Mytilus edulis: one gene and its partner. The main gene of each other region encodes a partner of the protein of the gene in region 2 in a complex. Links are inferred from orthologs where the notes say so. Each region holds a gene or a part of one and is shown on either strand. Other genes may lie near its edges.

What was found.
Region 1: the proteins of unextended protein-like (region 2) and protein tyrosine phosphatase type IVA 2-like are in contact, whole or in part, in a crystal structure (PDB 8CT8), measured with the Drosophila melanogaster proteins. The link is inferred for Mytilus edulis from reciprocal best matches to the Drosophila melanogaster genes uex and PRL-1. Residues at the interface, in NP_001104390.2 of Drosophila melanogaster: Leu391, Val422, Thr423, Lys442, Cys445, Glu446, Gln449, Asn450, Pro451, Phe454, Phe456, Asp458, His480, Val482, Asn484, Gly488, Asp489, Pro490, Phe491, Tyr492; in NP_001260487.1 of Drosophila melanogaster: Asp32, Ile33, Thr34, Ile35, Asn36, His37, Asp77, Gly78, Cys109, Ala111, Leu113, Gly114, Arg115, Arg142, Arg143, Gly144, Ile146, Asn147, Gln150.

Annotation. Positions count from the first base shown.
Region 1 is NC_092355.1:3,876,696-3,892,760, forward strand, and holds the start of protein tyrosine phosphatase type IVA 2-like, read right to left. Parts: upstream 7,218-16,065; 5' UTR 7,060-7,217; intron 6,661-7,059; exon of another isoform or gene 6,523-6,660; intron 2,374-6,522; exon of another isoform or gene 2,024-2,373; intron 1-2,023. UniProt on the Drosophila melanogaster protein: Probable phosphatase. Inhibits growth possibly by negatively regulating Src64B-induced growth. Regulates central nervous system circuit formation and stabilization of synapse-dense terminal arbors.
Region 2 is NC_092347.1:7,280,057-7,296,910, forward strand, and holds the start of unextended protein-like, read left to right. Parts: upstream 1-10,266; 5' UTR 10,267-10,296; coding exon 10,297-12,028; intron 12,029-15,081; coding exon 15,082-15,225; intron 15,226-16,854. UniProt on the Drosophila melanogaster protein: Probable metal transporter. Acts downstream of PRL-1 and protects the nervous system against olfactory carbon dioxide stimulation.

The DNA of each region.
Region 1 (16,065 bases), on a different chromosome or scaffold from region 2:
CTGTCCAGTTTTGCTACTTTCATGACAAAGGAATACATTGTAGCTCATATATGTACATGTAGGTAATCAGACATGTGTCTTCACTTTTAACCAGATTACCTCTTATACACATGATATATGTGCACTATGTACACACTGTAAATAACCAACATGTAAATTTTATACAGTTTGATAATAATCCATTTCATTCTACTTTTTTTCTCAAAAGACAGATATATATATATAATATATATGTGAAAATTTTCAAAGTCTAACATTTTTCTTCAAATTTAAACAAAACAACTTGCTTCAAATCCTTTTTAAAACTCTCACATTCAAACACACAATATAAATAAGATTTTATAGTCTGATTTAATACATTTACATTTTACATTAAATTTGCAATACATCATGGATGTCCTTTTAACTACATGTAGGTCAAACCTGAATTTCTTTGATGTACAGATAATATCATTCTGTACCAAGCAGTAAGATCACATGATTAGTCATGTCACATGTTCTGCATTAGAAAGTTGACATAAACTTAAAGATATGGGTGCTGCACAATATTGCATTCTGTTTCAGTGACAGATCCATGGGGTCCTGGGGTTGGAACCCCCCTTTTTTTTTACCTTCAACCTTTGAATGACATATAGTTGGACCCCCCCCCCCCCCCCGCCCCCTTTATCCTGGGTTGGGAACCCCCCTTTTAAATAGTTCAGCCGCTAGGTCCACCCCTATGTTTATTATCCATTAATAAAAAACACCTGATACTGTGTACACCCATTGTAATCGTGGCATTCATTATTTAAATTTACATAAAAATACTAAATATTTTTTAAATTTAAATCTTCCGACATCCTTATAATTTACGGCCATTCTAACATTTTCACAATAAATGCCCATAAAAGGAAAACAACAATTACATGACAGCCCGATACTGCAGATAGTGAGACAAGTGCACTGTCATACAATGCAGTGAATACAATCAAGGTTTATCTGTAGACCAATCGATACAACATGCACAACTACACACCACTTTAATTCACCTGTACTGCTGATGAAGGGGTGAATGTCCTCTCTTCTAATAGTCCTATATTGATGTGAAGGAATGTCACTTTTAAGCACGACTGGTTATTAAACTATTTGATGTATTTGTGAACATCATATTTATTGTTGATGTATATATGTTGTTATACATGTACAATATGTCAACTGAAAATTTCAGTAGAAATGTGGTGAAGTCCTATTTCATAAATTCTGTACACATCAGTCACATGAAAGAAGATTTAAATGTGGGTTTTTTTCTGAGGCAGAATGTGAAAGTAAATCTATACATACATGTAGACATAGTTTGGGGAAATTATATAATTACAATTTTGGAAAAAACTTCAAGACTTTAGAATCACTTCTAATTATCAGATTATGACTTCATGCATGCTTATGCTAAAGGAGATACAATGTACGTGGGTACTGACCAAACAAAGTACAAAACTTATTTGCTCCTGAATTAACCCAGAAACATTGAATACTCTATATTTATTTATTTTTAAAATAAGGACTAAGGCACAACAATTGTAAATGTTCTGAGTTCAGTAATTTTTAAATAAGGAAGCACAACTTTATTCTATTTCTCATTATTTGATGTTATCCATCACTGATAACAGAGGTATCTATATTATGTCTCTGCCATCTCTTAGCAGCATTATAATGAAAAAGTACGATGATCATGTATCTTCCCCCACTTCACAAAAATTCTTCATCAGACATCTGCTGCTTTTAATTGATCTCTATGTAAAACATATCACATACCTAAAGAAAATATTTCATTCACAAAATGATAACATATTTACATAGACTGTCAGGTAAATAAGACACACCTGTATGTAACCTAATGACCTTTATCAAAACAAACAAAATGTCCCCTCGTATATCACTCAGATATTTATTCAAACATTTAACCAAATTGTCTCTGCAGTGGTCCTTCCAAAATTAAAATTTTAAGTATTCAAGAAAAATAAACAACAATATTATTGGTATTTACCTGTAAACATGTGTATCCTTGGAGGAAATGAGAAAAACTCAGTTATCATTGGAAGATTTTCTGGCTAACCACTAACAATAGCACTATCACGACTACAGTAGTCTGTAGCATCCAAATCATTTACACTTTATACTTCTATAGACTAATGACATTCATGGTGTAACATGTACATGTAGATAAACACACTGACTGATATTAGAACCATTGTTTACAACTCAGCTCATGTCTATACTTTTTCTTCCTTAATAATTATATCAATTGTCACCTATGCATTATTTTCAGTAATATTCTTTTAAATATCAGATTCTAGCAGAAATAATATTTGTCCATTGGGGAAAGAGTAAACAGATCTATACATGTACAATGTACAAAAGTATTCAATAGATAATCAGTTAATGTAAATACAATGTAATGCCAAGACATATATATATTAAAAATTTAAACAAGTAATAAATCACTAGCCTTGTTTTGGGATAAGCTGGGCCTTTGGACAGAGCCCAGTCTATATAGAAAATATAGAAAACATACCCAGACTTGAAGCAGCAATTTTCAGTCTTAAAATCCATGAATTACAAATTCAACCCATACAGAGGACAATGTTCTAATAAATAAGTTCACTTGTCTGGCACTTATTAATAAAGTTGTTATATACATGTAATTTAATAAAGTTGTTATATACATGTAGGATAATAAATTGAGAAGGTACTAAGCAGTCTTCACGATGAACTATTAAATCTACAGGCCCGGAGCTCAATTTTTAATTTTTTAAAGTTAGATTCTGTTGGCCTGGGCCTAAAATAAAATTTCATTTGTTTGGCATTGCCGCCCGACCTACTGAAAAACTTGCCGCCCAAATAATTTTATTTGCGTTTCAGAAATTTATTATTTTTTATTTAAAAAAATCGAAATTGTGCCGGAAATTGATCGTATCCACCGAGTTTGTTCCTGGCTTTACTTATTTCAAATCATGATCTTAAAAGCGCTTGCCTTGCACTGTATTTGGAGCAAACATTTAAATGACATGGAATAGAAAAAGTCTGCCAAAAGTAATGTCAAAGAGGCCGGCAGGGGAAGGCATCTCCCTATGCTGCAATGCATTGGTTAAGGGAGATGGATTTTTTATCAAAAATCAAATTTCAGCTATTCTTTGAAAGAAACGTTTTGAGAGACCTTGTAGAGGACTCAATTTTATCTTTTGTAAAGCAGAAACAGACGATTTCTGCTTGTTTTTGTCGCTTCATGAGATAGAAGTTTTTCACCGGGACATCACAGAACAAATATGCGTGGCTCTTACATTTGATGAACTTATTAAATATTTGAAATTTATCATTGACAAATTATCCCTTGAACCAGAGAACAAAGTATCTACTATAGTCAGAACCACAATGATGCATTCAAGATAATTATGGCTGTAAGCACCAAATCTTAAAGACCATAATGATTTACAGGTTTATAGTAGTTTTGTAGATGCTAGCCTGGAACAAAACATACATATTTTAAAGACTAGCATCTTGTGTCAATTGAAGTACTTCCCCCTTTTCTTGCCTTTCTTCTTAACATGAATAGGATAATTCTTAAAACATAAAAGATACTGACAGAAACATAATATAAATGTATCCAGTGTACTAGTGATGAATAAAATCCCCTCCTTTTCCACAATTCTAAGGGCTCATTAATTTATCTGTATTCATGTAATGCATGTCCAGATTTCTGTTAATCAAACAAGCATTACAACCCATAATTTATTTATCTGCAAAAATTGTCTGTCCTGCTGTATATTTCCATTTTGAATTTATCATACGTTTTAAACCTATCCCTGAAAAACCTTGCACTTGGATAATATTAGTATAAACACCATGTCTATTTGTGCCAACCTTCCAAATTTTTAATATTTTGCTATCCTAATTTGGAACAGATCCTTTATCCTCAAAACTTATCAGGGGAAGTAGGCATGTTTGTATGGTAGTTCGTCACACCTTACATGTATGATTACTAGCCTCCAGGTATTGGTTTGAGCCCTACATGTAGTTGGGCAGTTGCAAAATTAAGGTTTGATTTTCATGTCAGATGTGATAAGGTTAGTCAGTTTCCTCCCACAGGTTGGCATTTTCCTTCAAGTACTACGGTTTAGTACGGCACTAAAACTGACTGCCATGAAATTACCCATATGGTGTAGAAAGTGATGTTTATAAAACCAAAGCAAAGTTTTAAATCTTTGTCCATTTGTACAAGGAGCCGTAGTGGTTGAGCCATTTAACTTATGGTAATTTTACCAAACTGTGACCACAACTTCAAGATGTTACATCAGGCCTCTGTTCAATGGGCAGTCCCACAATAAAAGCTCAATTTTCACGTCATACATTTTATATGGTTAATTTGTCAGTTTCCTGCCTCAGTTGTTTTTTTCTGGGTACTTTGGTTAACTTTGCCAATAAAACTGACTGTCTTACGTGAAATTATCCATATGATGTAGAATGTGACATTGATGGTTGACCCCTTTCAAAGAAACCACCAGCATGTACACACAACAATGCTGCAATGCTTTAGACAACATTGATCTGGAGACTTCATGATTTACATGTATAAGGCTTTTAAATGTAAAAAAAAATAAATCCCTACCTACCTACCCACCTGCTGATAGTGTGGGTCGGCAATGCCAAACAAACAATTTTTAAAGGGTTGCCCTGTAGATATGATTTTTACAGGCCCGAGAGCAATTTTACTAGCCTGGGCTGCCTGGGCTGCCACTCAGTGTGAAGACTGACTAAGGCAGTCTGGATTAGGGGGGGGGGGGGGGGGGTCTGTTATTCTGTAAACATTTAATTTCACCCCTTTTTTCTCTAATCTTCAAAAAATTAACCCCTTTTTTCTCTAATCTTTATTTTTTTTGCCCGTTATTCTCTAATCTTCATTTGTTAAGGGCATTATTCTTTAATCCTTTAACCCCATCCAAACCCTCTACTAAGGTAATGATATTGATCCAAAAACTCAAAAGTTCAACAATATTTGTTTATACATTGTACATGTAGCTAAAATGTTTTACACAATTTTAATTCATTTACAATACATCACTAATCAATAAACTGATAAATTCAGCTTATAATAGATTTGTTTAATTACACAGTATTACAATTATCAGAGTTTTTATCTCTAATAGTGTGGGTGACATGTCCCCTAAACACTGTTTATTTAGCAATGTGATTATACATGTTTAATGGCAATTACATTTGACAAATTTGTTAATACCCTGAATTACAAAACACTGACACGAAAATAGATTTTTTTTTCCAAACTGATTCAAACAAAGCTGAGAAATAAACAAAGTATCCAAAATATTTAGCCTACATAGAAATACAGGGGGGAATGAAAAAAAACAGAAGTAAAGAAAAGTATTGAATGGCGAACTTATGTTTTTTCTTTTCATCATTTTAATCTCTGAAAATGACTCTTTATATGTCTCCATTTTATCTATGTAAGCATTTATCAATAAATCTATTAAATTGAAAATACAATTATGACAATGGGACTTAAGTATTTGTTGTATAAATCAGCTTAGCAAGAACATGTGCCTATGTTCAGTGAACTGTGAAATTGGGGACAAAATTGTAATTTGTCATTGAACTTTGAAAGTTCACCTCATGTTATAATTTCCCTATAAATTACATTTCTATGGTCATTGGATCACCTTTATTTGACATTCGTTTTCACAGTTCTCATCATAATGACTATGTGTACTAAGTTTTAAGTTTAAATGACAGACCATAAAACATAAAATACTTTTCTTCTTATTGCCCATTACCAGTCACTACAACTGCAGGTGGGTATGATAAATTGTATTGCCAGTTTTGGGGATATTTTCATCCCAGGGTAATATGATGTCCACCTAGTATAAATTCCTCAATATAAATTAATTATGAGTTATCTCCCATTGTAAGAAAATCTATCTGCATTTTAAATACAGTTGTAGTAGTAAGATAAATTGACATAAGTTGCTTCATTTACATTAAAAAAACAGTACAAGTGATTCTAAAAAATAATAAGTCTGAGCAAATGACGAATAATTATTAAAATTTCTGTTGTTTGAAATCCAAGAAGTCCGGTTGAAAATATTGTTAGATTCAATTTTACATTTGCACATGTTCTTGACTCTTGTATGAGGATAGTAATGCCTTTTAACGTTAGGAGTAAAACAGTCATTTTCAGCTACCGGCATTCGCGTCAAATTGGTTAAAATCTTACAATGATTCGTCAAAATATCCTTAACATGATTTGTTAGAGGTCACAAATAATTATCGTTACCCTCATTTAAAAAAAAAAACATGATTCGTCAAAATCAGTCAATGTTTTTATCGTCATACACCAAAAATTACTGTTAATGTCATTTGGCAAGAATTTTTACTGTTATTGGTTATACAGGTACCCCCATTACGACCCTCTTGTATGTATCAAAAATAACGAAAAGGGGATATTACTTTTATCTTTAAAATAGCAGTGCTTACCTGATGAATGCCAAAAGATCAGGCTAAATACAAACATGTACAGAAATTGAAACAAAACATTTTCCTGTTCAACTTCAAAAATTTTGTCACAGAATAAACTTTTGATTTCACATTATGACATACAAGGAGTATATTGTGCAATCATAAAAACTTAAGGTCAATTATGTAATGAAAGATAAGTCCCAAAGTGGAATTCTTTATCAATGAATCCAGTGGAGTAAAAACCAGAATTGGTCATTATTGTTATCTTCGACGCAGATTTGGGACTTTTTACTTCACTAAACAAATAATAAAACAACAAGAAAATGGTATCAAACACCATTCTTTTCATTTTTAGTTTGGAGGTATATTTCTGCAATATTCATCAGGTATTGTGTAATTTATAAACATAGGAATTTTAACTTTCAATTTCGCTTCCTACGCATGAAACACGCACCAGATGAATGAATGGGCAATACACAAATTTCCCATCTGGGATCCGTTTCTCGTGATTGCGAAACAATTTTCAATGAAAGACAAGTTGACAATTCAACTTACCAGTATATTCCTGCACATTGATCGCACTCAACGCTTTTACCTCGCTCTTACAGCGAGACGGTACAGAAAAATGGGAAATCTAAATGTTTTCACCTCTACACAACCGCTCTCAAGCAAGTATGGCTGTCAGACGTGTGACGTCACGAGTACATTGGGGCACAAGGGGGGTAATATTGATTTACAGATGTGACTAATAACCAGTGAGTCACTTGTTGATGAACAGGGACCTAATTATACAAAGCTATGACAAGTCACCGTTAAATAATGAAAACTTTCAAGCAAATATGCTGATGAGGAAGCCAATAAAAATAAAATAAAATTGAAGGATTCTTCTATAAATTTGTATTTACAGATTGCATTATTAATTTAAGGTGTACAGTGTATCATTACTATATATTTTCTAAGATAGAATTTTCTTTTAAATAGAGATATTGTCTTGATTCACGTTAATATTATCAAAAGTATAGATCACTGTGCTATTTTTTTCTAATTACAAGTAGCACAAAATTGCCCAAATTTGCATATATATTATCAGAGACATATAATACATTATACATGTATTATATGTCTCTGATATTATTCACTCTTTTTTAAATATTAACTTCAGTTGAAAAGATTATTTTTTTTTATAAAATTCGAGAAGGAAAAAATATATAAGAAATTATGTCACCAAACTTATTTTCTTATAATGAATAAAAAAATTAATTGTTTGGCTAACTTTACAATCATGTTTAGAGTTAGTTACCTCCCCTTACATGGCCTTTTTGAGAGAGAGAGAGAGAGAGAGAGAGAGAGAGAGAGAGAGAGAGAGAGAGAGAGAGAGAGAGAGAGAGAGAGAGAGAGAGAGAGAGAGAGAGAGAGAGAGAGCATAATGAATATCTGTTAAAATATCATATAAAATACAACAAATCACTTATTTTTTTCTTATTTAAAAAAAACCGCCTTACACAAACACTAGACTAGTGTACACCAGCTGAAATGTCTCGTATCATTTGAGTCGACAACATTTTGCTTAAATATGGTGTAAAAGTTTGGGTTTTTTTTAAATATAAATGATTTTGTCAAATCTTAATGAAATTTTACGAAAGTTGGACAGAAGCTTTTTATTCTCAAAAGATTATACAGACCTTGAAATGATGAATTTATATTTTTAATTTTCCCGTATTCTACTGATAAAAGGAATTTCTGTTTGCATATACAGTCTGTAGTTGAAGTTTGTTGCACTTCAATTACTTTGTTAACCCTTCATTGAATTTTATGAAACTTTTGCAGAAGTTTTTTTGTGATTAATGTCTGAAGCAAAACTTTTGAAAGTATATTTTTTTTTATTTTTCAATTTACATACGGACTTATGTTTTAGCAGTTTACAGACTCTCTGTGATTATTATTTTTTACATAATGATTTTGAAAACCTTCAGATGTTGTCATGAGACTAGGGTAGAAGTTAATATACCAGATCAAGAAAAAAAGATCTTAACGGATTGAAATGTTTGATTATTTAAAATCCTATTATAGACTGATAAAAAGATTCAATTTTCGCGGGAAGCGGCAATCTAGCGAGAACCACGGTTTCACGAAACCCTTTACGAATTTTCATAATGCATCTAAACCACCGTGTATCATCGTACAGCGGATATAGGTACTAACCAAGCGGGCGTGAGCGATTTTGATCTTACACGGTAACGAAAATCTTTGTTTTGTTCACATAATATCAATGTGTACTTCAATCTAAACATAATTGCTATTTTAAGAAATGATTTGGTCGTAGGTTAATGGTTAGAGATGTCTCATTATTTTCCCAAAACAAGAGGGATTACTTAAACATTGTAAAAGCATGTGCAAATACTTGTCAAAGAAGTTGGTCCTCGTCTCTTCCGATATAATTCTATATTCATTGCAACTCTTTTTCTGATAGAAGGTCAATATGTGTGTGTAATAAGTATTGCTGTTTCAATAATTGGCATTGAAATCTTTCATACATATGTTATTTTTCGATATTTTATCCCTAAAAAAGTGTTGTGTACGGTATTTAGCTAACCGCATAAATCCTTATGTACGGTGCATAGTTATGTTGTTGTACACCGTACACAAAAACATTATTTTTATACTCGTTTATTACCCAAAATGTTTCAAGGAATGAGTAATCACAGATAGGTTTATGATTGGTGACTATTACTTTTGCCCTGTATTAGGTTTCTTTCAGATAAAACATGTAAATGTCTCAACAACTGTATCGAAATTGAAAGATGGTGTTGACTTTCACAACTATTTGCGCTTGTACAAGTTAATTGTTCTTATTAGAATATCAAACTTGTTTTATGAATAGGAAAAAATCGATGCAAAAATTATTTGGGAGCAGGAATTTCAAATGTTGAGAAATGTACATTGAATATTGTTCAAGCAAAACAAAGATTTTCGTTACCGTGTAAGGTCAAAATCGATCATGCCCGCTTGCTTAATACCTATATCCGGTGTACTGATGATACACGGTGTAAACATCTTTGCAAATTAATCATTTCATATTCATTAACGACATTTGCACAACAATGGGCCTTATCTCATGGTCCCTTTAAACATATGTTAAAGTAACCGGTTTGGATATTTACTCCAACACCAATGACCATTAGATTTCAAATCAACACAATGAATACATTAAATATAAAAGATAAAAAAAAGTATTCTATAAGGTATGTTCAACTTGCTATTGATTAGTTTTTTTTATAAAAGAAATGCCCCCTTTTCGAAACCCGCTGCTAGAAGGTGTTAATTACGGCTCTTTACCGTAGATAGCGAAAATGAACGTCAACACGTCTACTTTATCTTTTATAGACAATGCAAGAGAATATATCTTTTATAGACAATGCAAGAGAATATCCATTTACAGATCTAAACTACAAAAAAGACAATACAAGCGAATCTATACATCTTCTGTGCATGGTAAGCAGATCCTGCTCCACATGTGACACCCGTCATGTTGCTAATGTTAGTACAAAAAGGACAATACTTTGGCTCTTAATGGATCTATTACAAAAGCCTTACTTTTTTGATAAAATAAATCACTTCATATATAATAGAACATTGTTAGCTTCTTAATCACCACATTTAAGATATATTGTCAAAATGCGATGATTTTGTACACTTTTCGAACGCAAATGCTAGAGGAAACCTTTGGCTGCAACATAGGATCCAAAATGTTCTGTAACCAAAAGTTGCAAATGATGACATTGCATGAATCTCTATACAGAAATATTTTCTTGATCGTGGATGGCGCGGCCATAGTATATATAATAAACTGCTAAAAACGGTTTTAGAATTGATTGAAAATTTGACCAAATCTGACGTTACAACATAATTAATTAATGCATACTTCTAGAGTCAAAATACTTCATCATTTTTCATGTCATATGCCAAAATGAAGTTATTTTGTATTAATAGTAATATCACACTCATTTTATGTGAACTCTGTAGTATTTTGCCTGGATTAAAAAAAAACCATCAAAAACTTAGGGCCTTTTAACCCTTTGTGAATTTACGAAGAGGTGGACTTGGAACTCTATAGGTTTGATAGCTTTATTGTATATACCTGCAGCAACTCTCTATCGAGAAAATGTCATGATAGGAAATATTCGGTCAGATATAATGTATCAACTGTGAGATATATACTCCGTATGGCATGCAGTCCGTATGTAGGCGCTTCTGGAATGTTGCTACATAGAAATGGAAAGTATACAGTTTGGAATTTAGTTGAGATCTATACCGTCTTGAATTGATAGTCATTAACATTTATTTAAAATTGAAAATGGAAATGGGGAATGTGTCAAAGAGACAACAACCCGACAATAGAACAAACAACAGCAGAAGGTCACCTTAGTTTATTTTACTATACTTTTAATATTGTAATAGAGAGCTTGACATGATGTACCGTATGTTGACCTATGAAGTCGTCTTTTGTGTTATTGTGTTGGCTTGCTGTCTCGTGAGGTAAAACAAAGACCGTTTTTTCATACTTATTCCTATTCTACAATAAATAACGAGCTCCCAAAAGTATTAATGGTCACATTGTGGTTTTTTTTAAAGATTGAAATAAATAATTTCGAGTAGAAAATTCTCGTGTCTGGTAAACCTGCAAAATGTGGTTGCAATGATATGCACAGTCCTAATCTATATGAACTTATAATTCGGTCAGGAATCTGATGGTCGGTATAGTTGTCGTTTGTTGATGTGGTTTATAAGTGTTTCTCGTTTCTCGTTTTTTATTTGGATTAGACTGTTGGTTTTCTTGTTTGCATGATTGTAAACTAGTCATTTTAGGGCCCTTTATAGCTTGCTATTCGGTGTAACCAAGACTCTGTTTTGAAGACCCTACTTTGACCTATAATGGTTTACTTTCACAAATTGTAACTTGGATGGAGAGTTGTCTCATACCACATATTCTTATATCTATTATTATATTTTAACAAAGTGAAATACGAGTATGCTTGGAGAGGCAACTACATATGATCTCTTACTGTCGACTGTCCACCTTTATGAATGTGTTACCGAATCCTAAATGGGATATCTTTTGTAAATGAACTTAAGCAATATTCTATATTTAGTTTCAGTAACATTTTGCCTTTTACCTGTTGATAATCTTTATAAGCGACTCCCATTTCCTTTTTTACAAATCCTAACAACTTCTAGAAAAGGTGGGGGGATAAGGGATTCGTTAACATGTTAACAACACTTAGATTTTGGCAAAAACAGTTAACAAAGTGGGTTGAAAAGTTAACAGCTCTATCTTATCTCAGATAACAGTTAACAACACATTGAAAAGGGCCAACACAGGTTAATATAAAAAAGGTATTGCCCCTCCTACTAGCTTATACCTCTCCCAGGGGTGAAGTTGTATTCAAATCAAGCCAGGGAGATTTAAAGTACCAATGGGAAAGCATTTTAAAATCATGTCCATTTTCGTACTTGTGAGAGTAACCTTGACCTTTAATTAGTTGATCCCAAAGTCAATAAGCTTCTTCCTTTCCCCAAATTAAGTTTCGTTCCAATCAACAAGTGAATTTCTAGTAAAAATCCAGAAACTGTTTCTCTGAAATTTTCTATTTTGATTTGTAACAGTGGCCTTGACCATTGATTAATGACCCCAAAATCAAAAGGCATCTTTCCCTTTTTCTAAGTATTAATTTTCATATCAATCAAACAAGAGATAGTCAAGTTACCATCTGGGAACCATTACCTCTAATTAAGCTCTTACATTTTTAATAATATCATTTTGGTGAAATAAACCATTTGAATAAAACTTTTCAAAATCATGTCAACAAACAGAAATTTAAAGATTGCTAAAACAAGAATGTGTCCCCAGTACACAGATGCCCCATCCAAACCATCATTTTCTATGTTCAATTGACCGTGAACATCTCTAATTTGGCATTATAATTAGAAAGGTCATATCATAGGGAACATGTGTACTTAGTTTCAAGTTGACTGGACTTCAACTTCATCAAAAACTACCTCGACCAAAAACTTTAACCTGAAGCGGGACAGACGAACGGATGAACGGACAAGACAACTAAACGAACAGACGCATAGACCAAAAAACATAATGCCCATAAATGGGGCATAAAAAAACTTTATATTTCTAATTGCCATTACTACCATCAAGTGTTTTTAATCAGCACCCATTTTGAAACTTTAATGAAATAATTCATATACACTTTCCAGTCCAAATTTCACCAAAATTTATCATTTACAGAAAGGTGGAAGATACCAAAGGGGTAGTCAAAGGGGTTGTCAAAGGGGTAGTCAAAGGGGATACCAAAGGGGTAGTCAAAGGGGTTGTCAAAGGGGTAGTCAAAGGGGTTGTCAAAGGGGTAGTCAAAGGGGTTGTCAAAGGGGTAGTCAAAGGGGTAGTTAAAGGGGTAGTCAAAGGGGTTGTCAAAGGGGTAGTCAAAGGGGTTGTCAAAGGGGTAGTCAAAGGGGTTGTCAAGGGGTAGTCAAAGGGGTTGTTAAAGGGGTAGTCAAAGGGGTAGTCAAAGGGGTTGTCAAAGGGGTAGTCAAAGGGGTTGTCAAAGGGGTTGTCAAAGGGGTAGTCAAAGGGGTAGTCAAAGGGGTAGTCAAAGGGGTTGTCAAAGGGGAAGTGAAAGGGGTAGTGAAAGGGGTTGTCAAAGGGGTTGTCAAAGGGGTTGTCAAAGGGGTAGTCAAAGGGGTTGTCAAAGGGGTAGTCAAAGGGGTAGTCAAAGGGGTTGTCAAAGGGGTTGTCAAAGGGGTAGTCAAAGGGGTTGTCAAATGGGTAGTTAAAGGGGTTGTCAAACTCATAGTTAAAACCAAATTGACAATAACATGGAAATACAATAAAAACCTCCCAATAAAGAGTCAGCAAAACACAACATAGGAAACCAAAATCTGACCAACACAATTCACTACAAATAGAACATATCTGTAATATACATTCACAACCTTTATACTACTTTTGATCACAGTGATTAGTTTTGCTCAAAAACTGTAGCAAATATTTCCAAAAAGGATAAATTGTTCAAAATGTCCGTAAAAAAGAGATTTATTTAAATGTTTAAATCACCCATCATGAAACAGATTTTCCATAATGGTCAACTAAATTGTGATGGCATCTGTAAAATATATGTCGTGATGACTTTAATTCACCACCTGAAACTTTTGTTGAAATATATATTTTTTTTTTATAGTTTTGGGAACGATAGAGCTAACAAGACTGATGGACAAATACATAAATAGGGATATTTTCTTGATGTGTTGAAGACCCATTGGTGGCCTTGAGCTGTTTTCTGCTCTTTGGTTGGGTTGTTGTCTCTTTCACACATCCTAAATTTTATATGTGGTATGATAACCACTTAGATAAGTACAGTATCTAATATAAAATAATTTAATTTTGGATGTAATGTGTCTTTTGATTGGCTGACAGGGTTTTGTTTATCACCTCATAGACATAATTCTATAATGTGTCTGATTTACCCCAAATTAATGAAATTTAGAATTAAATTATAAGGAATGACTGTAATATTTTTCTGCCTATTTGAAATAACATAAAAAAATGTAGAGCACACAGGTTATTTAGTGTGCACCACATTTTTTATGTTATTTCTTCATAGACAGAAAAATATTACAGTCATTCCTTACATAAAGGACAAAGATGTCAACAATTACAAGAAAATCTATGTCTTTCAACAATGAGCAAAAACATCTAATAGTAAGCTATAAAAGACCATAGTATGAAAAATTGAGAAACAATTCAAAAGAGAAAACACTTCAACTAATGAACAATTACAACTGACAGCATCTATTAACAAACCATAGACCACAAATTCCTAACCTGGTCTACTTTTTTGCCAAAGGCTGAGTTGCCAGAGCTCAGTAGTGCAGTGGGAGTATTGGACTTGACAATTCATGTCACTAGAGCCTTCTTTAAATGATGTCTTATTTTCATTATAGGACCACAGCTTTTTAAAAATACACAAGCTGCTCTTATAAATCTATAAACTTTGAAAAACTCAACTTTATGGGAGTTTTAATAATTCCAACTTCAATTTTATTTCATCTCAATAAAATCACAATAAAATAAAAAGACAAACATCCCAGTAACATCTTTATTTCAAAATAATAAATCAAATTGCAAGTAAAATAAGAAAACAAAAAAAATAATAGATTATTAAAGTCAGAAAACTGACATGATAAACAAATACAACATTAATGACATCAAATCTTCCAGATCTGGTATTGCTAATTAAGTAATAATATTTACACATAAATATAAATGTAAAATGAAATTCAATCATGGCAGCTACTAGCTAAAGATTTCTTCTTAAGGAAATCTTACTTAGGAAATTGAAAATTTCATCAAGTTTGAGATTTTTGATTTTGGAATCTAAGGGCACATTTATTTGGTCACAATTTAGCCAATTTGTGTTGAGGTAGTGTAAAGCAAAGAGTAATATACCACTATTTGTTTTGTACTAAATATATTTCCGTTGACCTTATTGGATTTCAAAGTTATTTCCCTTTGCCATGACATTGTAGGGAAACTTATACCTAAGTTCAATCAAGTTCAACTTCTTTTAATGACTGCTTAATTTTAAGAAAAACCTTTCTAGCATGGTTCTTTTATCATAATTTCTTGTACTATTTGTTTAAATTTGGTTACCAATTGTCAAATAAGAAAATCAACCAGTTTGCTTTCCCTCATGGCCAAAAACGGAAATAACTCTGACTCAAATTTATATCATTGGGAATAATCTATTATGCAAGTCCACCTTTATACTACTTCTGATCACAGTGATTTGTTAAGCTCAAAAAGTGTAGCAAATATTTCCAAAAAGGATAAATTGTTCAAAATGTCCGTAAATTTTTTTATTTAAATGTTTAAATCATCCAGCTTTAAAAAAATTCTCCACATATATTGAAATTTCAGACGTTCAAAAATTTCCTTCACCTGACATATAAATGTGAAAACATTATAATAGCTATATGGTGCCAAAATTGAAAATAGAAAGGTAACGGAGTAAACCAATGTTTTAAACTTTTAACCCTTTCCTCCATGGATTTTTTTTTTAAGGTATTTGATTCGCATAGGATTTCTTTCGGTAAAAAAAATTCATCAGGTTTAAAGTGTTAATGCATTGTGAAAACAGATATTTCATCAATGAAGTATAAGTCAGATATTCTCATGAATCTCCTTTTCATATTGGATACAATTTTTCAAAAGTCTAATGGAGAAATATAGGAGCCAAAACTTTTCAACTGAGGATCTACACAGGCGTCAAAGGGCGTCATTATGGAGTAAAGGGGGTGGCGTCTTAAGGTGTCATTATGGAGGAAAGGGTTAAACAACTGACATCAGATGACTTACTGGCATACAAGCATGATATGTCAAATCCATCTCATATTTGATGAAAAAAAGTAAATATGTTCAAAACCATATCATTAATTCTAACATATTTTCAGTATTGTGACAATCAGTATTTCCCATGTACATTAAAGGTTTAT
Region 2 (16,854 bases):
AAATGTAGACACATCCGATAAGTAAAATAAATACAAAAATATTTGCCTAGGAAATTGCTTTAGTAATGTGATATAGGACACTTACATATAAGTCATGTGTAATGAATATTGTTTTCAATATACCTACCTTGATTTTCTAGCCATAAAACCAGGTTCAACCAACCATTTTTCCTGAAAATGACCTGTGTCAATTCAGGAAAATATGGCAGCTCTTATCTACAGTCCGTTACTAGTACTACGTATGTTGACGTTTTCTTCTGTTGTAGTTCAGTGTTTCTGTGTTGTTCCGTTGTTTTCCATCGCTAGTAGTTGATGTTTACCTCGCTTTTCGTTTATTACCCGGATTTGTTTTTGTTTAATCGAATTATGACTATTGAACAGCGTTATACTACTGTAGCCTTTATCTGCATTGAAAACTTATTAACAAATTCGAACACATAGAAAATAGATATGAAGAAATAATATGGTATATTTGTAAAGCTTTGTAGGAGCAGTGTTCGACCCCGAACCAAACTTTACAGAATATAGCTGACGTGAAGCGATAGACAGCTGACGAAAGCCTGCCCTAACTTGGATAGTCAATAAAACGTCCAGTAAACAGTGCATACCCAAAACACAACAAGCAAGGTTGGTAAAACCAGGGAACATTTTAAGATGCCTGGTGGACTTTGAGATGAGAATAAGGATAAATAAAGGCAACAGTAGTATACCGCTGTTCAAAACTCATAAATCCATGGACAAAAAACAAAATCGGGGTAACAAACTAAAACTGGGGGAAACGCATTAAATATAAGAGGAGAATAAAGGAGATAAAGCATTCCAGAAATAAGAACTGCAACCATACCGCAACCATACCATATGCATCGTGTTGAATAGAAGCTTTTTATAAAGGCCTACAGCGAAAAGCGGAAAGGCTGAAATAAAATCGAGAATAGAAACCGAAAATGTGTCAAACAACCTGATCAAAAGGGGGGGCAAGGGGGGTCCCAATAACAGCAAAACAGCAAGTTGATTTGGCTTATAACAGATAACAAGGAATTGAAATGGACAAAAACAGATAACAGTAAATGAAATATTAAAATAAGTCGTGTCCTTGACAAATCCAGTATTTCTTATTACGGGTATAATCCTTTGTAATGAATTCCATTTTCTATGAACATGGTTTTCAAAATTATGTATCTAGATATGTATTTGGTATATTCTTGTCCGTCCGTCGTCAACATTAACTCAAACATTCTTTAACCAATTTACATAAAATTTTGGGAAATTGTTTATATCTATTGACGTGAGCTCCCTATCGTTTTTTTTTTAAATTTTAGATTTTAAGTTTCTGAGTAATGGGGTTTGATTAAAAAAAATGGTGGTTTTTTTTCAGTTTTCTGATAATATCTCAAAAATTCATTCACAAATTTTTAAGAAATTTTAGTGAATTGTTTATATCTATTGACATGATCTCCCTTTCAATTTTATAAATTTTAGATTTTACGTTTCCGTATTAAGGATTTTTACTAATTAAAAGGGTAATTTTTTAGTTTTCGGACATTAACACAAAAACATTTTCAGCAGTTCTTATGAAACTTTGCTGAATTGTTTATATCTATTGTTGTAAGCGCCCTTTCGATTTTTTTTTAATTTCCGATTTAATGTTATTCAGTTAAGGGGTTTATTCATTAAAAAAGGTGGTATTTTCCAGTTTTCGGACAATAACTCAGCAATGTTCTCTGCAGTTCTCATGAAACTTTGATTTTTTGTTTATATACATGATATATATTGACTGATTTTTATAAATATCTGATATGACATTGAGAAGTTATCGAATATTTCAAAAAGGTGACGGGCGTATCATGCACTCATGGCGTAGCTGTTTATTTGTTATGGAATACTTTTTTCAGCATTTATTTTTGTACAAATATCGAAACTCACACATGTTTGTAATTTAAATAATGTGTAATAAAATTGAGAATGGAAATGAGGAATATGTCAAAGAGACAAAAATTATATCTAGTAAAAATTCAAGGGCAGTTATGGTATCAAAGTGGGTCCAATTGACATAGTTCTTGTGTTTGTTGCTATTAAAAAATGATCTAAAAGAGTTTGAATATATATATTCGCATTCTGACTTTTTTAAATGCCCATTTAATGAGGTGTGTGAATTTTTCTGAATAAGACTATGAGGCAAAGTTGTATATAGGGTAGAAAAATCAAAATCACCAATTATAAGCATGCAATTTATCAAGTAGGACCAATTTTGACACTCCAAAAGTAATTTATTCCACTATTTTCAAAGGCCTTATTTGAACACATTTTTATCAGGTTTTTGATTGTACCAAGTCTACTAGTAAGTATAGAATACATAGTTTAATAGGGGAACTATGGCTTGAAGTTGAAATACATCTTTAATTGTAATGAGTTTTTTGCAGCTTTGGAACCCAGTGCATTATCACAATAACAGATAACAAAAAAACTAAAAACTTAATAACAGCTAACAAAAAATAAGACAATAACAGCTAACAGCAAATATATTTTCAGAATAACAGATAACAAAGAATTAAAATGTCCAATAACAGCATAACAGCTAAACCTCTTGCCCCCCCCCCCCCCTCATCAAAGAGCAGAAACAGCCCATGGCCACAACTGGGTCTTCAACACAGCGATATATGCCACCGACAGAGGTCAACTGCGGGCAACATGTGGCACTTAAAAGAAAAAAGATTCAAGCGAGGAGATATTGACTTTGATGGAAGCCTTTTTCAACTAGGAATTAAGCACTTCAGTTGGATTGGGGTAATCTAAAAAGTGAAATGTCCGAAAGAGCAGTGGCATACCAGGGTAGAACAGCACAAACGAAAGCAGAGGCGAGGCGTTTTGGTCATTGTTTTTTCACTACATGATGACGAAAACGGACGGAAAGAAGAAGTTTCAACATAGGAGTCAATATTATGGAAGTTGGGGCTTAATTGTCGCACTAGGTGTTAACTTTAAACAGAGACAAGTAATATTATATGTCTCTGCTTTAACTAACAATTATAATGCACGTTGGCACGTTCTAATGTAAAGAATGATGTCAAAGTAATGACATTTATTGGAGAGGTTATTAGATATAGGAAGGAGTGGTATGAGTGCCAATGAGACAACTCTCCATCCAAATAACAATTTATAAAAGTAAACCATTATAGGTCAATGTACGGCCTTCAACACGGAGCCTTGGCTCACACCAAACAACAAGCTATAAAGGGCCTCTAAATAACTAGTGTAAAATCATTCAAACGGGAAAACCAACGGTTTAGTCTATATAAAAAACGAGAAACGAGATTCCTGACTTAGTACAGGTGCAAACATAATCCTAGAAATGCGAAATAGATCGCCACATTGATGACATGTTGGAGGCAGGATTCATAGAGCCAAGAAAAGGTCCATAGTCATCCGATCCAGTACCATTCTCGAAAAAAAGAGAGACGTTTTTGTGTCAACTACTAGTATCGTCGTTTAAACAATTTGACGGTTAATGGTACATATCGGCTTCCTTAGCATAGACTCAACCATAGATCAGCTTGACGGGAACATATGGTTTTCAACGATGGATCTTTGTTCATGTTGCTGGCAGGTTGAATAAGAAGACATTGACCACGACATTTTCAAATTCAAAGAAATAGCAATGGCCATGTGAACCTGCCACTTTCGAGTTGAATATGGAGCAAATAATGGCTGGTTTACAATGCCACAGTTGCCTACACTATATACTTTAATATATCACCAGGTACCTAGCTCATATATTTAAACAGGAAATGCAAAACCCCGGGACACTTTTATTTGTAATTGAAGAACCGTCCAAAAAGGAGTATCTATAGATCATTGCTGCAACAACACCAGCGCATTTAGTGTCTCCTTAAAAGAAGAAGCTTGTTGAGAAGTATAATGCAACCACAGAATGGATTTTCAAAGCTACGACACAATCCCCCTATAGTTCCGAGGACAAACGCAACAATTGGAAACACCATAGGCGACCTTTGAAATATAACCAACTCGTTCATCTCAAATTGACTCGTAATGTTTCGGCAACTAACGCTGTTCTACTCGTCGCCCATGGACACGTAGTGTGTAGCCACCAATATCACCAATGTTATTGAAGCAACTGTCATGGCTCAAGTTAGGACGCCAGCCGCAGAACCTTCACTATCTCTGGTTGAAAAGATAACTGTCAGAAGGTTTAACCAGAATGAGAAGGAAGTAGAACAACCAACATCTGGAAAAAGGTTTTGCACCATGACAACGGAAAACAAGCTGATCCGTGAGGACTTAAAACTATGGAATTTGCTTATCATATACAAGTAGCCGTTTAGAAGATGACATCAGTAAGATGGACCTATGTTTTTGTTTATTGAAGTTATACTATTGTCAGTGCTTTTATTATGCTCTTATTAAATCCATGTTTGTCCGTCGGATGGGGACTTTAAATCTGATGTCCAGTGTACAGAGAGTATTATGCTCTGTACTTAATAAAAATCCCTCACAACAAGCTCTTTTAGATTTTTTAAGTGGTCCTGTTAATGCTACATTGTTGTATACAGCTTCCCTCTAGATTTTTCTGGGTTGATCCTAGCCAATTTCCTTTTTGTGTGGTCCAATTCCATATCCAGAATTCCTTGTGCATCATCTATGTTATTTGCTAGAATGCAATGTCATCCACATGAATGGGTGCTGGAACTGGTATTCCCGGATTTGTTTTTTCTTATGACTTTTGAACACATGTATACTACTGCTGCCTTAATATATGACCAGTTGATGATTTTGCGCCTTGTTAATTGTGTTCGTTGCAATACATTAACCTCTTCTGGATATTCTATCTTAATACTCATTTCTCTATATAAAAAAAAGTGAAGAGTTTATTCACTGTTCCTATCTTTTCCATAATAGTACAGCTAATTGAATAGGATTCCACAGTTCAGTTTATCAACTGTTTTCCCTGCGTCGAGGGTAATTGAGATTCACTTTATCATGTTTATTGTTTCATTCAACTGTTTCTGATGTTAGGAAGGCTGTTACTTAGTAGGACGATACTCCCTCTGTAGAATGAATGGTGTCAATGTCTATTTTGGGTATTCATTTAGGTATTTTGATAAATGTCACTGTTACAGTCAGAGTTTGTTGGTGTTAAACGTCCCATTGATATGATGGTTGGATTTGAATATCTAAATATATATTTTCAAATTATATTAAGCACAATTATATGAATCATAAAGAGAAAATAAAATCACAAAAATACTGAACTCCGAGGAAAATTCAAACCGGAACGTCACTAATCAAATGGCAAACTCAAATGATTAAACACATCAAAAGACAGGACAACAACTGTCATATTCTTGGCTTGGTACAGGCATTCTCAAATGTAAAAAAAATGGTGGATTGAACCTGGCTTTATAGCGCTAAACCTAACTTGAATGACAGTCGCATCAAATTCCATGACATTTACAACGATGGGGAATTAACTCGTTCATTCCATACTTTCATTCCATACTTATAGTGTTTGAAGTTGATATTCTGTCTTCATCTAGCATATTTTATGGCTGTATTCATCTCTTTCGTTGATAGATAGATAGATAGATAATTTTATTAACCAATCATGGTGCCCAAAATTTGAGCTATACAATCAAATGAATTACAAAATAAAGCACAGAAAATGATTAAAGTATGTAACAGTATTACACTGTCAGTACAAAGCCCTTTTCAGAGTTTTTTTCCAATGATGTGATTATGCATTTTTCATATTACTTCTAATTATCGGTTTCAAAATATGGTTCAAATGTAGGAATTTATACCTGCTGGAAGTGCTCTTATCATATATTTAGTATGCCTTCTGTCAATTTTCTGCAGTCTAATCATCACATTTTTGTATTGAATAATCATATAAGCGTTTTTCTTTGCATTCTAATTAAGTTGAAAAATAAATTACTTATCTGAGATCGAGGCTTTCATAATTTTCTGATTCTGTCGAGTTGTATCTTTCTGTGAGGCATACACTTGTCTTTGTGCCTTTCTTGGAATTCTTTGTATTGCGATCATCTTAATCTCAAGTTCGTTATATTCTTTCTTGAGCTGTGCCATCAAGTCTCTATATGTAATGCACAGGCACTTGTCTCAGATTATTTTTTCCCTATATTCCTTATTTTTTTCTTCTGAGACAAGGCCTGTAATGTAATGTGCTGTTCTTGCATGATTGCATGATTGCTTTTTAGATGCGTTTCGTTCGTTTTTGCCTTACCCTTAAGGTTAACTTAATTAGAATATTTTTTTCAAATAAAATTAAACTAACATATAATCAAACGGACATGCAATGAAGACCCATTGGTAAACTTCAGGAACCCGTTGTTCAGTAGCCGTCGTTTGTTGATTTGGTTCATAAGCGTTTCTCGTTTCTCTTTTTATATAGATTAGACTGTTGGTATTCCCGTTTGAACGGTTTTACACTAGTCGTTTTTAGGGCCATTTATAGTTTGCTCTTCGCTCTTTTGATCAAAGGCTCCGTGGTGAAGACCGTACTTTGATTTATCATGGTTTACTTTTACAAACTTGGACTTGGATTGAGATTTGTCTCATTACTGAGCACTCATACCACATCTCCTTATATCTGCACATTTCCTATTCGCAGATAAAAAAAATCAATATGTTAAAAGACTTTTGTGAAGTACTACTAAACAGAATGACTTCATGGTTGGTCATAATACGTTTACAGTGATGAGTTGTAACGTGTCAGGACGTTTCGAATCTGTAAAACACCTTATGAAGGCAACGAGTACAAACTTCAGTACAGTATATATATTGACTATTCAAATACTTTAGTGAGGGGTACAGCTTACAATGATCCTCGATAACATGTTTCCAATACTTTGATACTTCTTTATTTACGATGGTCTTCCATTTTATTTTTTTAATTTGACTGTCTAATAGATATAAAGCTGATGGTAAGTTGTATTTCGCTAGAATCGTTTTAACAATAATAAACCAGCTGTGACTATCATCCGTTTTCATAAGTAGTTGTCTATATCCAATTTGTTTTTCTAAACTATTATGTGATTGTCTAGATCTTTTTATGTATTTGGCCCTCTATTCAATGGTAGTTGTTCAGAAAGAATGTATATGGCGGGCGTAGCTGTACTTGTTGGTAAAGAAAGTAATTGCTTAATTTTTTGTGGAATATGTCAATAATATCCAAGTTTTTTTCAGTAGGAGTTACTAATTCCAGGCCGTACAGAAGTACAGGAATGACATAGATGTTAAATATATGTAGTAAGGATTGTATGTCCAGTCCATTTTCCCCATGCAAACCAGCTGGCATTAGACTGTACATGGCTCGTCTAGCTTTTTTCACGTTTTCATACAACGGATTAGGATCATCTGGTTTTGATGTGCGTAAGACCCCCACATGGGTTGTTTGGCTAACTATTAGCATTATTGAGTTACTTATACTCCATGGGAAGGAAGGTTCTTGCTGTTTTCTACGATTTGGATACCGTGACTGGCAAAATAACACTCCTCACTGGTTGAGGCTTATATCTCTCCCTTCGACTGTAGTTGTATGCTATGTTAATAAGTACCTGTAGTTCCTCAGGGTTGTCGCTCATTAGTGCCACATCATCTGCACAAGTCGGAGCTGCGCAACAAATGGATCCTAGTTTTGCTCCCAATCCTGAGTGCTTGATATCTGTTAGGAGATTATTGATGTACAGCTTGTCACACGATAGGTCGGCGCTCAGTATACCACCTTGTTTTACCGGCGCCTTGACACATTGAGAATGGTTCAGATATTAAACCATTAAATTTAACTACACTGCTAGAGTCCATGTAAAGACTTTGTATAAGTTTCTATAGTAGCCCATCTACACCTGCTATGCATAGCTTTCTTAGGATACTCTAATGCGTTACCACATCAAATGCCGATTTAGCATCTAGAAACGCTCATGATATGTATTATTTTACCAGCATCCCTGCATTCTCTGATAAATTCTTCTGTAAAGAAGGAGCAGTTCATTGGAGCTGAGTTCTCAGTAAATCCTCTTTGTAGCCTATTTTGTTCTTTCAATATTTTAGGTTGGACCTTAGCCTTTTAAGAGGGGGGCAAGGGGGGTTCCAGTAACAGCAAAACAGCAAATTGATTTGGCTCATAACAGATAACAAGGAATTAAAATGGACAAAAACAGATAACAGTAAATGAAATATTAAAATAATTCGGTCTTTGACAAATCAGTATTTCTTATTACGGATATAATCCTTTGTAATGCATTCCATTTTCTATGACTATGGTTTTAGTATTAATTTATGTATCTAGAATGTGTTTAAATTACTACTCAATATATTATAATATTTTTTATACGCTCGTTTACGGAACGTATTATGGTATACTGTTGTCCGTCTGTTGTCAACATGTCGGACATTAACTCAAAAACTCGTTAACCAATTTGCATTAAACTTTAAGAAATTGTTTATATCTATTTACTCCCTTTTTGTTTTCTTTATAAATTTTCTGGGTAATGGGTTTTTATTCAATAAAATTGGTGTTTTTTTTTCTTCAGTTTTCTGATAATATCTCCAAAAAAAATTTCACAAAGCAAGGAATTTTGGTAAATTGTTTATATCTATTAACATGAGGTCACTTTCAATTTTTATAAACTTAGATTTCACGCTTCCGAGTTAACTGGTTTTATTAATTATAAAGGGGGATTTTTCAGTTTTCAGACATTAACACAAAAATGTTTTCTGCAGTTCTCATGAAACTTTGCTGAAATGTTTATATCTATTGTTGTAAACTCCCTTGCGATTTTTATTAATTTTAGATTTTATGTTATTGAGTTAAGGGATTTTATTCATTAGAAAAAGGTGGTATTTTCTAGTTATCAAAAATAACTCAAAAATGCTTTCAGCAGTTCTTATGAAACGTTGGTGTATTGTTTATATATATTGACTGAAGCTCCCTTTGTTGCTAATACAAAAAAATGACCTAAAAAAGTTTGAATATTCTGACTTTTTCTAAATGACCATTTAATGAGGTGTGTGAATTTTTCTTAATAAGACTATGAGGAAAAGTGGTATATAGGATAGCAAAATCAAAAGCACCAATTATAAGCATGCAATTTATCAAGTACTTCGAACGAATTTTGACATTCCAAAAGCAATTTATTCCACTATTTTCAAAGACCTTATTTGAACAATTTTTTATCAGCTGAGGTTTTTGATTGTACCAAGTGTACTAGTAAGTAGAATACATAGTTTAGTAGGGAAACAATGGCTTGAAACGAAAGAAATCTTTGTTTGTAATGAGTTATGTGCAGCTTCGGACCCAAGTACATGGTTGTACAATGCATTTGGTTCTGCTTTGAAAAGACTCACAGAGCTGAGTCTATGTACCATATTATATAAAAGGTTAACTGGTTGTTATGACCTAGTCCTTAATTGAGATCCTTGTCAGATATTCCTGGCCATATGTTTTCCTTTTTGTCATATTAAGAATTGTTTTAATTTAATATGTTCGTACGGGAAACAAGGAACATTATTCTCATACAAAAAATTAAGATAATTCTAAATACACATTCATAAAAAATGGAATTATTACAAAGGATAATCATAAGATATACTTGAATTGTTCTGGACCTCACTTCTGTGATGGGTAAATGTTAATGGAATCCTTCTCTGAATACGGGACAAACATATTAGTAGTGGTAGACCCCAATGTCCAATGATATTCAATTTATACCGAATATTGACTGTAAAAAAAAATGCTAACATTCCAATTTTCAATAACAGTTAACAGCAAATACATTATCACAATAACAGATAACAAAAAAACTAATAGCCCAATAAAAGCTAACAAAGAATAAGACAATAACAGCTTACAGCCAATATATTTTCAAAATAACAGATAAAAAAGAATTAAATTGCTCCATAACAGCATAACAGTTAAACCCCTTGCCCCCTCTTTCAACACGGCTACAGACTCAATAAGTTTCAGCAGTATTGGCATGATAGCAGAGACATATATACACATATGTGTATATATGTCTCTGATGATAGTAAGTTACTAATCCCTCTATAGTTGGTGGCGTTCTTGTTACTTCCTTTGTAGATGTAAGCAACATATATGATTAAATCAGTGTACTAGTCTACATGTTTAACTAATCGTTGGTTAAATTTTAGTCTCGTCTCGGGACTTATTGCAATCAATTTGAAATCACCTACTTTTTTTCCGGAAAGAAAATAAACCGATATGTTCCGACATTTAGTCTACTTCCGCAACAAATCTTACAAATGGGTGAAACTGTCAACAGGACTCTAAAAAGTTTACTGTTTATTTTGAGCATTTACATCGCAGTTTTAGGTCAAGTAAAGGGAAATGCACCAGAAATACTTGGGATTATATCCCAGGAACCTGGAAATATACGAGATGAGACTGGAACACTGTTGCTTTATCCAAGAATTGCACATAAGTTACTTTTGGTCGGAACGAACTTCTCCGAAGTGGAAAAAGGTCAGGCCCAGATAGCATTCACTTTAAGAAAAGACCCAAGTGGTAATTGTGATGATTACGACAGGACAAAGTCATTTGATTTGATACCAACCGCCGATGGACAGTATGCCTCTGTTACAGTTACTTTGGAACAGATTCCAAATACAAAGTTATCATCTGGAAATGTAACAAACAAGTATCTTTACATCTGTTCAAAAAAAAATGATGATTGGGTACACCAAGGAGATTCCAATATATTACGAGTAGGTATAGGAGAGATAGAACCTCCTAAAATTGTCTCTGTAGTTACGGGAGAACCTGACAGCACAATTAATAATGATGGAAGCATTTTACTCTATTCAAATGAACCTCAAAATATATTTTTTGTAGGCCAACATTTTGATGGGTTTAAACAGAATGGACAGCTGGCATTTACTACTAAAAAGGATGTTACAGGATCCTGTGGAATCTTTCTGGAAACCAATATTTTCAATGTCACTGTTGAGAGTGATGTACTTTCTTCGGTGTCAGTGTCTCTTCAACATCTGGGTGGAGGACAGCATTATTACATTTGTTTAAGAAATCCGCAGAAATCCACAGAATGGATCCATCAGGGGTCAAACAAATTTCTAACAATAGATGTCCGTGTCAGAGTAGAAAAAACAACAATGTTACCCTTCTCGATGCAACTTATTATTATTGCTTCTCTGTTAGTTTTATCAGGTTTATTTAGTGGTTTAAATTTAGGACTGATGGCGTTAGATAAAACAGAACTGAAAATTATTGAACGCTGTGGGTCCAAAAATGAAAAGAAATATGCAAAAACAATTTCCCCAGTTCGAAAAAGGGGAAACTTTTTGTTGTGCACACTTCTCTTGGGAAATGTACTGGTAAATAATTCTCTTACAATTTTATTGGATGATTTAAGTAATGGATTAATTGCTGTTATTGCAGCCACAATGGGAATTGTCATATTTGGAGAAATTATACCACAAGCTGTTTGCTCAAGACATGGCTTAGCTGTTGGAGCAAGAACCATATGGATTACAAGAATTTTCATGGTTCTCACATTTCCGCTATCTTTCCCAATCAGTTTACTTCTAGACAAAATTTTAGGCGAAGAAATTGGACATGTGTATGACAGAGAAAAACTTCAAGAATTGATTAGAGTAACTAAAGATTTCAATGAACTTAAAAATGATGAAGTAAATATAATAGCTGGGGCGTTAGAATTGACTAGGAAGTCAGTTACAGAAGTCATGACTAAAATTGAAGATGTGTTCATGATTGATATAAACAGTAAACTAGATTTTGAAACAATCGCTGAAATTCAAAGGAGAGGTTACACTCGTATTCCTGTATATGAAGGAGATAAAACAAACATTGTACATTTGTTAAATATCAAGGATTTGACTTTAATTGACCCTGATGATAAAACCCAACTTAAAACTGTGCTGAAATTCTATCAGCATCCATTGATCTATGTGTTTGATGATCTCAAATTAGATGCTATGCTCACTGAATTCAGACAAGGTAATAACATTTATATACAAAGTATGTACACTTAAATGCACATACATGTAGGTGTTCTAAAATACAAAAACATATGCAAATTCATGGTAATGATAATTACATGTACATTGTACATGTACATTTATATGCATATATCCCAAGCTCCATATGAGCAAAACAATATATTTAGATATATTTGTATGCAAACATGAACATTTATTACTATATTTTTGTTCATGTATGCATACATGTATTCAAAGATGTGAGTTATGACTACATTTGTACATGTAGGTGGTAATTTTATGTACATGTATACTTGCATTGCCATTGGGATACTTGTACATGTACAAATAAAATATGTACATATACACAAAAATGTATGCAAATACATTGTAGGTTCAAAACATATACATTGTGTATGCACATTATAGCTACATGTACATACAGCTCCAGTGGTCTTGTGGTACAAAAATGTAGCATCTTCGCCACAAGTGTGGGAGTTCTTGCATTAATTAGGTTCAGCCTGTACAAGGTCAAACCAAAGTCTTTTAAAGTGGTATTTGTTGCTTTTCTGTTGATCTTGCAGTTTTAAGGAGTGAGAGCAAAGACAGGTACAAATGTAGGCTTGGAGTAAGGAAAATGTGTCTGGGTAGGGTGACATCATTGACATGCCTTCCTTCAGACTGTTACCTCGTACTAAATATTACATTAACATGTTCTTGTCCTAAATATGCATGCAGATTATTTTGTTGCTGGATGTAAAACAGCTGTTCATCATCTTCAAACCTCAAATAAAAATGGTATTTTACTGAAAATTCCCAATAAGTTGAGATGGAAAATCACTATTGATTCATATTATTGAGCTGGATAAACTACACTTTTAATTATGAAATGATGTGACTCAGCAGTACAAGTACTGTCAGTAGTTTATACATGTATATTTTATTTATTTCCATGCATTTCTTCTTGTAATTGATAAATTGATAAACAGTCTTCATTAGAGACATGTTAATACTGTTATCATTTGTATAAATAGGAAAATGTCATGGATGTGTTTACATAATATATAAATAATATCTGTTTTATCTCCTATTTGTCTGACCTGCTATACTTGGTGTGTACATTTGTACTTTATGACCTGTCAATAATAACACACATTGCAATACAATATACAGTTTGTTGTATATACATCCTTGGAATACATTTGCAGTCTGCAATACAAATGCTTTTTTATATATACTATTCAGATATAGGAAAAGTCTGCACCAAAAACTTTTTCAACTACTAGTCCGAAGAGCAATATTCTGACATTTTTCTTATTTGGCCAAACAAAGTTTTGCAAAAACTCACTAGTCCGAATGAAATTTTACTAGTCTGGGGCATCGGACTAGTGGCTAACCGTGCAGACTGTTAAATAGGATAAGACAATTGCCTGTATTTCTTCACTCTCATGAGCTAATTTGTGAATACAACATTTCCTACAAGCCTACAGTGTTTTTTTCCTATTTATAATGTTGTTTTAACGCAAATAATTTCTAGAATAAAAAAAATAAAGAACACGAGCTGTAGTGTACATTTGTACATGTAAATGTACTGTTTATGTATCTATTAACTTTTTCCAACAAAATAAAACTTAATTGGTCAAACTCTGGACCCTCTCTGAAATGGTGTTTTTGGTTCTGATAGTTTGTCATTATTCAGGACATGCAGGATGAGGGACTGATGGGGATGGCTTCACATAAGACAAATGATTTATCTAACATGGCAATTTCACAAATACAGAAACTTTTGAATGTTTCTACTTAATAAAAATACATGTTAACACATTTAAGTGTTTTCAGGACTGTATGTTAACCTATTTAGATATCATTCTGTATGTTGTTGTTGTTTGCTTGCCTTATTGACATACATTGTACATGAACATGCGTGATGTAAAACCACATTTCATATGAATTGAACATTCACATGGGTTAAACTTATTTAAAAACATCATGTTGCATATATATATATATATATATAATATATTTCATAACATTTATGCATGTTCCAAAAATTCTGATCACATGTACATTGTATGACCTTATGCATGTTTGACATGTTATTATTTCATTTGTTGCTTTTGGCGACAGTTTTCTAAATAATTCACCTCAATAGGGACAAATGGAATATATATGAGGCACCTCATGGGGTGTCCAAGTAATCTTATAATCACAGAATAATGAATTATTTTTTTAAAACAAAATCAAATTATCAAAAATACAGTCCTAGATTATTAAATAATCATGAAATATTTTGTCTGGTATTCAAATAATCATTAAAAAATAAGTCAAGTAATTACATCACCAAAAACCCCATGAGGAGGCACATATATGTACATGTACCAGGTCTATTGATAATTGTCAGTGAAAAAAATCAGTTAACAGGTCTGAATTGTCATTTGATGACCTTACATAAAATGATAGACAGACTAAACAAGGCCTCGGGCATGAATACATAATATCCACATCACATTATTTACATGTTACATAGCGCACTTCATTTATCAGTGTCCATACATGTACTTATGACATAACCTTGACCAGTACTTACAGTATATGTATATTATATCATTTGTATATGTTTTTAATATGATAACTGGTTCATTCAGCTCTTTTTAAAAGGGGGTTTCAACCATACATTGTATATCCCCATTCAAAAGCAGTTGATCATGAAAAAAGGGGGTTTCAATCCCTAAGACCCCCCCCCCCCCCCCCCCTTTGCCTTTTTTGGATCTGTCACTGCTTAAAGAACTTTTAATTAGGGATTGAAAGATGTTTTATATGTATAAGGAAATTAGGAAAATCATGAAAATGCACCAAAAAAGCTGGATGATTTGGAAACAGAAAAGATTGAACATTTGTTGAAAGCAAAAACATAAAATATGAATATACTTTTTCAGACTTCAAGATAAACCTTAGTTATTGTCTTTACCTCGTCAAAACAGTGATCAGTAATAAAAGTAGAGACAGCCATAGTTCCAATGTAACTCATGTGTAAAAGGGTATTATGTACTATATTTTATACTGATTTTGTAGGTCATTCTCATTTGGCCGTGATCCGTAGAGTGAACAGTGAAGGTGACGGTGACCCATTTTACGAGACCCTTGGAGTTCTGACTCTGGAGGATGTTATTGAGGAGATTATACAGTCAGAAATCATAGACGAGACTGATACACTAAGTATGATATAAATTGATACAATCAATCATTAATAATCAGCTTTTCATATTATATATGGATAATTATCAATCTTTTTGTCTTTACAGAAGGGAGATAATTACTTAGGAACAGAAATAGGTCTATAGGATTCAGAAGTGAAATTTAAATTGTATAGAACTGGAGGCCCTCCAATGGAAGGAGGTGGGAGGGATAATATAACAAATCCATACAACTGTTTTTTTTCAGACACATGCTATTTTAAATTAAGATAAGAAAATACACATCACATTATGTATGAGGGGGGGGGGGGGTTTAAGGTGGGATTTCAGGATTGACCGTTTTGGATCTGGGAATTCTTATTTAGGGATGTCGGGATTTCATGTTTCTAAATCCAGGATTTCGTGATCAGGACCATTCCGACCTCCCCCAAATGCATAAAACTAACTCTGAGCATATTATTAAAGCACCAATTGGGCTGTAGTCATGTTTTTATTAAAATAGATACATTAATTCCATCATAAATTTAAATAACAGTCCACTTGCGCTTCTCTTGAACCAGTACAAAATACATGAAAGGATGGATTGTTGTAAAACCATTTTCACTGCACCAGCTTGGCAAGACATGTTTGGTTTCTGGTTGATTATCAGTTATCTTGCAAACAGTATTCCTTTATCTCCCCATGTTATAGAACCTGTCTCAATTGATCAAGGGAGAGGAGCTTTGCAAGGAATTGTAAAAAAAGACCACAGCTGAACATGTGCATATGCAGTTCAATTACTGGCAGTTTAACAGATTTCTGCTTTTTGTGTAGGGGTTATTTGTTTATATGATTAAACAATGAATGACTTATGATTATAGAATGTCATTTCAAAGGTCATTTTTCAAGAAAAAGAGAAATAATTATCACAGTAAATACTAATTTTCAGAAACACATATTATGTCACCTAAACAATACCCATGTAAAACAAAATATAGTATAATTCTGTAAAGGGTCATTTATTTTAAATAAAAATCAGAAAACATGTACCTCATCTTTAACTAGAATAATTCTTTTTCTATTAGTTATGAAAAATGGTATTAAGTGAAAATTATGAGTCTAACTAAATCTTAAAAACAGGAAAACTACACTTTAAATACATGTGTATAAATAAATAACAATGATTAATATTCTTATGACCATTTTTTTTTTAACATGTCTATATACGTACAAATATGTCTGTATTTAGCACAGGGTAATTTATTAATGAAGGATAGAATTTAAATATATAAAACAAGAAAAATAAACAAACAAGTTTATGACAAAATTTTCAAATTTGTTCACAGTAGCCATGGTCCATTGGTTTGTCCAATGTCAACAATTTGGACAATAACTAAAAAAGCACTTTAAAGAATTTTTAGTTATACTTTCAGGAATTGTTCGTATCTTTTGACATAAGCTTGTGTTCTATTTTTATGATTTTAGATTTTACAATTCTGAGTAATGAGAATTTCAATTTTTTTTTTACTTTAACTCAAAAATGCTTTGGTGACTGGTTTATATCTATTTAAGTAAGCTCCCTTTTGTTTTTGTAAATTTCTGATGTGACAGAAGTAATAGAACTTTATTCACTGAAAAAGCGATAAGTTTATCATGCGCTCATGGCTTAATT